Linked DNA regions of Rattus norvegicus. The protein of the gene in region 2 purifies or fractionates together with the protein of the main gene of each other region. This does not show direct contact. Links are inferred from orthologs where the notes say so. Each region holds a gene or a part of one and is shown on either strand. Other genes may lie near its edges.

What was found.
Region 1: the proteins of Hdac6 (region 2) and Rps6 purify together in Homo sapiens (affinity purification with mass spectrometry; 3 studies listed by BioGRID, with this or other methods). This does not show direct contact. The link is inferred for Rattus norvegicus from reciprocal best matches to the Homo sapiens genes HDAC6 and RPS6.

The regions. Positions count from the first base shown.
Region 1 is NC_086023.1:106,417,282-106,422,001, forward strand, and holds Rps6 (small ribosomal subunit protein eS6), read right to left. Parts: upstream 3,260-4,720; 5' UTR 3,245-3,259; coding exon 3,239-3,244; exon of another isoform or gene 2,727-3,238; coding exon 2,595-2,726; exon of another isoform or gene 2,252-2,594; coding exon 2,041-2,251; exon of another isoform or gene 1,913-2,040; coding exon 1,766-1,912; exon of another isoform or gene 689-1,765; coding exon 435-688; 3' UTR 399-434; downstream 1-398. UniProt on the Homo sapiens protein: Component of the 40S small ribosomal subunit. Plays an important role in controlling cell growth and proliferation through the selective translation of particular classes of mRNA.
Region 2 is NC_086039.1:17,236,391-17,240,405, reverse strand, and holds part of Hdac6 (histone deacetylase 6), read right to left. Parts: coding exon 3,990-4,015; intron 3,901-3,989; coding exon 3,833-3,900; intron 3,640-3,832; coding exon 3,471-3,639; intron 3,384-3,470; coding exon 3,255-3,383; intron 3,093-3,254; coding exon 2,924-3,092; intron 2,710-2,923; coding exon 2,576-2,709; intron 2,006-2,575; coding exon 1,937-2,005; intron 1,822-1,936; coding exon 1,629-1,821; intron 31-1,628; coding exon 1-30.

The sequences.
Region 1 (4,720 bases), on a different chromosome or scaffold from region 2:
AGGCCTAGGCTTAATTCCTGCCATTACCATTCACCAAGAATGCAACCTACTAGGCCATTGCCACTGTAGAAATTAGGGTACATTAGGGGTAGCAGTGGATGGGTGATTCCTTTGGGACTAGTTATCTTTAGTAAAGGCCTTTAAAAGCTGTGTTTCTTTATTAACCTTAACGTTATCGATTTAAGGCCTCTTCTACGCCATCCTACTTTTTAACGGTCTCCAAATGTACTCATTTACTTTGGGGTAGAGGCTAGATGCACATAATTTGAAAAGAATCCCTTGCCCCATATTCTAGGGATATTTGTATATCCTATATATTTGTATTCCTTTTTCTATGACTCATTTCTTTTCCTTCATTTATGTAGTTACATTATTAATAAAAGCCAGTAAAAGAGATTCAAGGTCTCATTATTTATTTGTTACTCTTTAAAGACTTATTTTTGACTGGACTCAGATTTAGAAGTAGAAGCTCTCAGCGAAGACAGCCTACGTCTCTTGGCAATCTGTTCCTGGCGCTTCTCTTTGGCTTCCTTCATTCTCTTGGCCAAAAGTTTAGCATATTCTGCAGCCTCCTCCTTGTTTTTCTTAGTGCGTTGCTTCTTCAGAGCAATACGTCGGCGTTTGTGTTGCAGGACACGGGGAGTAACAAGACGCTGAATCTTGGGCGCTTTGGTCCTGGGCTTCTTACCTAAAAATCCAGATGAGTAATCACTTAACATCCACCATGCTGGATGGCGATGCCCAGTGTATAACACACGCCTAGCACACCCAAGCCCAACTCAGTCCCCACCATCTACCCAAGGCCAGTGCTGTCCCCCAAACATAAGTATTACTCTGGCCCCATGGTCTGCATTGTTATAACCCCACCGTATTTTCAACTTCTCATTTATGTTTTAATCCTATTTTCAGTCCGTGCCTACTATTAGAAATTAACGGTATGTTATAAATTATTCATTTTAGCCTTTTGGATTTACACTCCTTACCCCACATTACAGGCCTCTCTAGAAACAGAACCCTGCTATCATCTCAGCTCAGACCCTTGTAAAATAAGCTGGATAGCCAAGTTCTGCTACAGTTCAGCCACTCTGAACTGCTCATGAGGGGATGATGGACCATTTTTAAACCTTTTGTCAACTAAGTTACACATTCTCTCTAATAGCACACTCTTAATACAAGTCAACAGTCCTGAGTTATTTGTATTAATATACATGCTATGCTTCCTACTGAAGCATTAACATTATGAGGGCTGGAGAGGTGGCTCAGCGGTTAAGAGCAGACTGTTCTTCCTGCTCTTCCAGAGGACCACAGTTCAATTCCTAGCAACTACATGGTGGATCACAACCATCTATAATGGAATCCAATGCCCTTTTCTGGTGTTAGAAGGCGCAACAGTGTACTCATATACATAAAAGCTTTAAAAAGTATGTATTTGTTCATACATTTCCCTTTAAAATGGGTGTTTCTCCTGATTTTCACAATCTATGTCCCAGAGATGAAAAATATGTGGAGCCATTCATTAGTAAATTAAAGTGGTTCTTCTGTAATCCAAAGCACCAACTTAGAGCCTGGTCCCTCCAAAATGTTGTCTCCTGCAAGTTGTCCTTTAACCCCCCCAACATACACACAAAGTGCTTTAAAAGTTTTTCATGTTAAAATGAGAATACTTTTGTAAAAAATCCTTGTCGCTCCTAATGCCGAAGCCATGAATTTAGCTGTGTGGCAAGCACAGCTGCAGCAATAGCACAAAGGCCCAAATCCCTGTTACCTTCTTTGTTTAAGGGCTTTCTGACAACATACTGGCGGACATCATCTTCTTTGGAGAGATTAAAAAGCTTTCGGATTCTACTAGCTCTTTTAGGTCCCAACCGACGAGGCACAGTGGTATCTGTCAGTCCTGGAATATCCTTCTCTCCTTGAAGAAACAATCGGAATTAAGACATCAAATCTGTCCCACTTTGGTCAATGCCCCACTACCTAGGAGGCAGAACCTTGTGTCCAGGACAACCAATTTCAACTAATAAACTCCAACAAAAGCCTTACCTTTTTTTACAATAACCAAGTTGAGAACACTCAGGTTGGCATCCACAATGCATCCTCGGACAGACTTGCGCTTCCTCTCTCCAGTTCTCCTAGGTCTATAACAAGAATGCCCCTTACTCAAAAGCAGGCGCACTCTGCCATGGGTCAAAACGCCTTGCTTCATGGGAAAACCTTGTTTGTCATTCCCACCGCTGATCCGGACCACATAACCCTGCATCGAACATAAAACGGTACATTTACCAGTTCTGTTCCAAAGTGTGGTTCTTAACTTCTTGTGTGCAACCCCATTAGGAAGAACAACTGAGTTCAACTTCAGCCACTCACTTTTTTGTCTCCGTTTCCAACTAAGGTCAACAAGCAATCTCTCCATTTCAACTTCTACTCCTAACTACCCAGGTCTTACTACAACACGCAAGACTTAAGGCCTTGAATTATAACAAGCAAGAGAGACTCCTCTTGGCACGTTTCCCCAAATTTGATTCTAGCAATGAAACTTAACCAAACCCAACAGCACTTGCTGTGACGAGTTGGGGTAATGATGCCAAAAACTTTACCTTCCACTCTTCACCAAGAGCATCAGCAGCTACTTCTGTGGCCATGCGCTTCTCATAGAACGTACGAAGCTTGCGTTCGTCATCCACTTCTATGAGTTTCTGACAGCCAGTGGCAGGGAAGGAGATATTCAGCTAGGATTTTAAAGGGGGCAAAAGAAGACGACTTTAGGCACCTACACAACTTCAACAATTCACGTGCGCAGAACGTTTTGAGCAGCTCCCACACACAGCAGAAAACCCACGACTCGGACTCGCAGGCCCTGCAAAGTGCCACACGTCAATGGAACATTTTGCCAAAGCTCTGTAGAATGCTATGAGGACGTCAGAGCATTCACCCTCGCGATCTCGGATAGCAGAGTGTCCAGGAGGGGTCAAATGCCGCGGGACACCCGCTGCAAGTGGGGCTTCAGGCCCGCATGTGCCCGGTCGGGTACCGGGCGCCGCCATTGCTCTACGTCCGCTGTCGCGGCGTTGCAATCGCCCGCCATCCGCTCTCCCAAAGGGTCCCAAGGCCCTAAAAGCAAGCTTCCTCCTGCCTCAGACCCTTCCCCGCTTAGTCCGGGTTTTGTGAAAGCCTGGGGCTGAGGCAGTCCCGCGTTCTGGGACTCGAACTGCTTCACTCAGTCCCAGTCAGGGACGCCTACCTTCATCTTGACACAGCCGACCGCCTAGGAGGCGTCACGAAAAAGAGGCCCGACTTCCGCTTAGCCCAGGTCACATAGCACTCTAAGTTCTCGCGAGAATAGCCCGAGCTGGAGCCGGCGGAAGTGAGTTGAGGTGGGTGGTACTTCCGGGGGCGGTACTAGCCGGAATAATGTGAGGCTGGTTTGTAGTGAGGTGTTGGTTGGTATTCTGGATGTTCCCGGTGACAGGGCAACTTGTTTATCACGAATGTTAGCCGCTTCTTAGCTAATTTTTCCCGTTTCCGACCAGACTGGTCCACTGAGGAGCCGAATCCCCGTTTCCGACCATGGTTTTTAGTAGTACCTAAATGGAAAAGCTCGATCAGAATTGTCGCCCGGGCTGGCCTGTCCCTCATCTCTGCGGAAGATTTCCAGTTCAGGATCTTGTCCTGGTCCCAGCGGTTGACGGGAGAAATCTTGAAAGCCAGGCTTTGTTCTGCATCGATCAGAGTGACTCCTATAGTCGCCGGACCGCAGAAGACAAGCAGTCCAGCCGATCCATCACGTCTACCTGGCACAGACAACTATCAGATGCCTCAGTCTTGAGCCTTTCGGCTTTCTGTTTTCTTCTGCCAAAACTTTCTGCTTTGTAGGTGGGGTGAGGGTGACAACTCAGATCGGAGATTGAACCTAGTCTCCCGAGTGTCACTGTCATCTTCAGCTCTTTTTCAAAACAACACCATTTCTGTGCTTCTCTTGTTTACTGCAGTTACATGCTGTTCTGTCCGAACTCAATTTTTGAGACTAAGTGTCTTTGTATAACTCTGGCTGTTCTGAAATTCCCTATGCACACCATACTGGTCTGCTTACTACTGTCACCCATTTCTGACAATGAAATATTGATTAAGCCCATCATGCGATGGAATCAAATGGGAGTTGCCTTTTTATAACTGGCTGGTTTCATTAAATGTAGTCTTTAAGGTTTATATTTTATTGTATGATGGAATTTTCTTTTAAAGGCAGTGTGTGTGTGTGTGTGTGTGTGTGTTCACATTTTTGTGTACTGATTCTTTTGATGAACATTCAAGTTGCGTACACAACATCCTTGAGTATGAATGCCTCAAGCCCTTTAGACATTAGAAGGTGTCTGATCCCTTTGAACTGGAGTTACAAATGGTTGTCAGCTGCCATGAAGGTTCTGGGAATTGAATACTGGTCCTCCGTTAGAGTGGCTACTAGTCTTAACCACTGAGATGTCTCTCTAGACCCTGTTACCTATTATTTTTAAATTTTGGATTGTTAGACCTGCCATTAGTGACTGCCTCTAACCCCTGCGCTATGGAAACAGAAAGACAATTTGCTACAAGTTCTTGGCAGTTAGGTCTATATAGTAAATTCCAGGGTAGGCAGAAATACATACAGTCTGAAGCAAACAAGCAAACAAATGAGATTGGGCTTGGAGAAGCTTGCATGAGATATTGTATATTCTAGAGGCAGGCTTTC
Region 2 (4,015 bases):
AGCTGATATCAGCACCAGCTCTGGGTTAAACTGCAGTAAGGAAAAAAGAGAAGATGGCCTGAAGGCTTGGGGAAGCAATAAGTGATGAGAACAAAGGCACATGACACATTGACACATCGGAATGCAAGACAAAACCCAGAGGGTTCGAGACCAGAGATCTGAAAAGCAGCTGCAGAAGACAAGGTCACAAGGAGAAACAGACATCGCCAGCCTGGGAAGAGACAAGAGTATACCTGCCAGAAACTCAAGACCCTGGGAGAGGCTGGAGAGATGGCTCGGTGGTTAAGAGCACTGGCTGGTCTTCCAGAGGTCCTGAGTTCAACTCCCAGCACCCACATGGTAGTTGACAACTGTCTTACTCCAGTCTCCAGGGGATCAGATGCCCTTTTCTGGCTTTTCTTTTTTTTTTTCCCGGAGCTAGGGACCGAACCCAGGGCCTTGCACTTGCTAGGCAAGCGCTCTACCACTGAGCTAAATCCCCAACCCCTTTTCTGGCTTTTCTGGCTTCCATAGGCATGAAGCACACATGTGATACAAATATATATGCAGGCAAAACATGCATACATATAACATAAATAAATGTTAAAATCTCTTGGGAGACACTATAAATTGACAGAAGAGGGCATGATACAGAATCATGAGATAGATATGGCTCACAGAGAGAAAGAGACATGGAGACTCAGAAGGCAGGAGATAGTGCCAAGAGAAACAGAGACAGAGACATAACCTCTCTCACATACAAGAGTAAATATGGGACACACATGCACATGATACAGGCTTTTATACACACAGACTATAGACTAATAAAAGTGTCGTATACCTCCACTCCCAACCACACAGTTCCATACTGACAGGGCTGCAAATCCCACCACTTACACATATGTGCACTTGGTTTCTCACGGGGACAATAATACACAGCCACCCCTGCACAGGGCAATGATACACTTACTATGACCACAGTGCCAATGGTTACAGACACGCTGTTCACACCCACAGGAGGGCATGCCCAATCACTTATAAGCAGTTACACTGACACAGAAAGGGTGGACAGAGTTGTGTCCTCACTGCAGTATCAGTCACACACATGCCATTGCCTTGTCCTCAGGTCACACCAGGTCACCCCTGAGTCAAAGCAGCCAGAGAGACCCATATACAGACATGCAGACCTGGTTAGACGGAGACAGATGAAGATGACACCTACTTCCCACATTCAGAGAATCTTTCTCAGGCTATCACAAGACAGATGCATTCAATGACAGAGAATATCACACACAGAAAGGAGATGACAGCAACTATGTAACATTGTACACGTGTATGTCTTTGACACGGTTCCACAAGGGCATCTTTTAGGGATACTCTTACAGCCATGCACTCAGGATAGCAGACAGATTCAGAAGGCACACACATGCATATATACACATAGCCAAGACAGTTGGTCACATATAAAATGTCAGAGAAAGGCCATTTACAAGCATGTGCATGGGCAGACATATACATAAGGCCATCACCCCTGTCCCCTGTCTCAACAGCCATCATATGATTAGTCACCTGGTAGTCAAACACAAATGTCAAGGAGGCAGATGTGTGCTGCCACTTACAGCCTTGTCATATAATGAGCCGAGCCTTACCTCATAGGCGATGGGAAGTACCAGCCGATGCCACGTAGCCAGGTAATCAGCATCCCCCATGCGGGGCCCATTCCAGGGCACATTGACAGTGAAGCCTGTACCTGCAGCTCGCCCTACTTGGCTACTGGCACCCTCATCCCCCATGGGGAAGAAAGTACCACGGTCATACCGGTGCAGGGACACGTATAATACACTGCCAGGGAGAGGGTGGGAGGAGAAAGGGGCCACAGCAGGTTAGGGCTATGAGCATGGTCGCAGGATGCCTCACCCTCTGGTACCATCCTCTTGCCCACAGCTCCATCACTCACCTGGGGTCTTCCTCAAATATGTGCTGAGTTCCATTCCCATGGTGAACATCCCAATCCACGATTAGGATCCTGGGGAGGGAGAGAGCTCTTTTAGCAGCTTGGGACACTTAGGCCTAGGAGTGGACCACTGCTGGCTAGGGTCCTCAGAAGCATTTGTTGCTGGGTAACAGGACCATGGAGATAATGAGAAAGCATTGCTATTATTGTAAGAATGAAGGTCCAACCTTGGTTTCCTGAACCTATGGGGCTGAACAAGAATTGAGGTTAGGCCCTAGATTTTTCTAGGGACTGAATAGGGAATAGGGTCCCAGGCCTGGTTGGCTAAGGGTCACATGGCAAATCCTAGGCCTTTTGGAGTAAGTACTAGGAGCCCAGGCCTGGGTTCTGTTGGGATAACCTGTTAGGGAACAGGAATGCTGGTGTGATAGCCTGGATCCCAGTTTATTAAGCACCTAGATGCCATGATTGATGCCTTAACACACCCATCCTGGCTCTTTTGTAGTCAAGCGCTGCTGAGTGGACCCTTGCTTGCTTCTGTCTAAGTTCCCAGGGGTGACCATAGGTCTACCAAGGAAGACTAAGGAGTAGCCAGGTCACTGTAAAGATCAGGTTTTAGGGTGTCTGGGGGGCGGGCCTTACCTCAGGGCACGTCCAGCAATGACTTGGGCATGGCGAGCAGCTACAGCTACAGAATTGAAAAAGCAGAAACCACAAGCAGCATCTGGCTCCGCATGGTGTCCTGGAGGGCGCACTATTGCAATGCCATTCAAAACCTGTAGAGAGGAGCAGGGAGACTGTATCTCTGGCCCTCACTCTCTTCTTCTCTTTCTCCTGACTACCAGTCACTAGGCCATTCACCCTCTCAGCAGACTCTCCTACTGCCTGTGCTCTCCTAAGTGGCAGCAGGTGGTCCCTCTTTCTATTGTCTCAGGACCTCATTTCCTCAACTAAACTGCACCGGCAGGCAGAGAAGACAGATGGACGCACCTCTCCTGAAAGCACGGCTTCCACCAGGCGGCAGGCAGCGCCTGTGGCAAGCTGTGCGCAGGCAAAGGTGCTGGGGCAGATGTAGATGGACTCAAAGTTGGCACCTTCACGGTGCAGATCCCGAGTTTTCATCTTTTCTGTGGCCCGAAGACGTTCCACATACTCCGCACTGAAGATAGAGGAACAAGAGTTACTGGCTCGTCCCCACAGAAGAACGGTGGGGACCCTGTTACCTAGGTAACAGGGTCTCCCATCTTGGAGAGTCCTAGGCTCTACTCCTAGCACTTCCCTCGAGTCCTACAGCTGGCCCGCTGCTAGCATGGGGTCTGACCTGTGGCACGTAAGGAGTTCAGAATCCAGGGCAGGCCGAGCAGGTAGGATGAGACAGCGTGCTGCAAGGCCCACCTCCTCCAGGTGACACATGATGCGTAGGATGCGCTGAGGTGTCTCAGGATGATGACTAGTAGTGGGAGAAAGCAGAACCAAGGGTTTAGGGACTGAGGAGAGCGAGTCAAGCACCACTTAACCCAGCCTTCTGAGCACATACTTGTCCCACAGGTTGCAGTGACTCATCATTCTTTCGTCATAGACCAGCCCAGTGCGGTTCTGGAGCAGTGGCCATGTATCCATTGGTAGAGCAGTGGCCTCCCAGTGGCCTTCCTCCTCTTCATCCTCTAGCATGTCTCCTTCCACTTCATCTTCATCCTGGGGCTCAACTATAAAGAGGGGACTCAGATCACCCTACTTCCTGAACCTGGATCCCGGCACCACACTCTGAGACAAAAAGTGGCCAGGACAAAAGCCCTGAAATTCACACAGCCCTTTCCAACAAGGCAACAAGAGGAGATCTGAAAGACAATACCCTCCAATAGCTCATTCTAATGGTGATCACGGCCATCCACCACTTACCTGATCTCTCAAGGACTTCCCAGAAGGGTTCAAGGGCTTCTAGAGTGCAGGAGATAGAAGTCTGGGCGCTGGGGATGAAGGAAGCAGAAATATGACTAAACTACCCCTCCCAGCAGGCAGAAAGGGCTTCCCTTTCCCCTGCTCCCCCGAGGCTCACCTTGCACAAGGTGCAACAGGGGACTC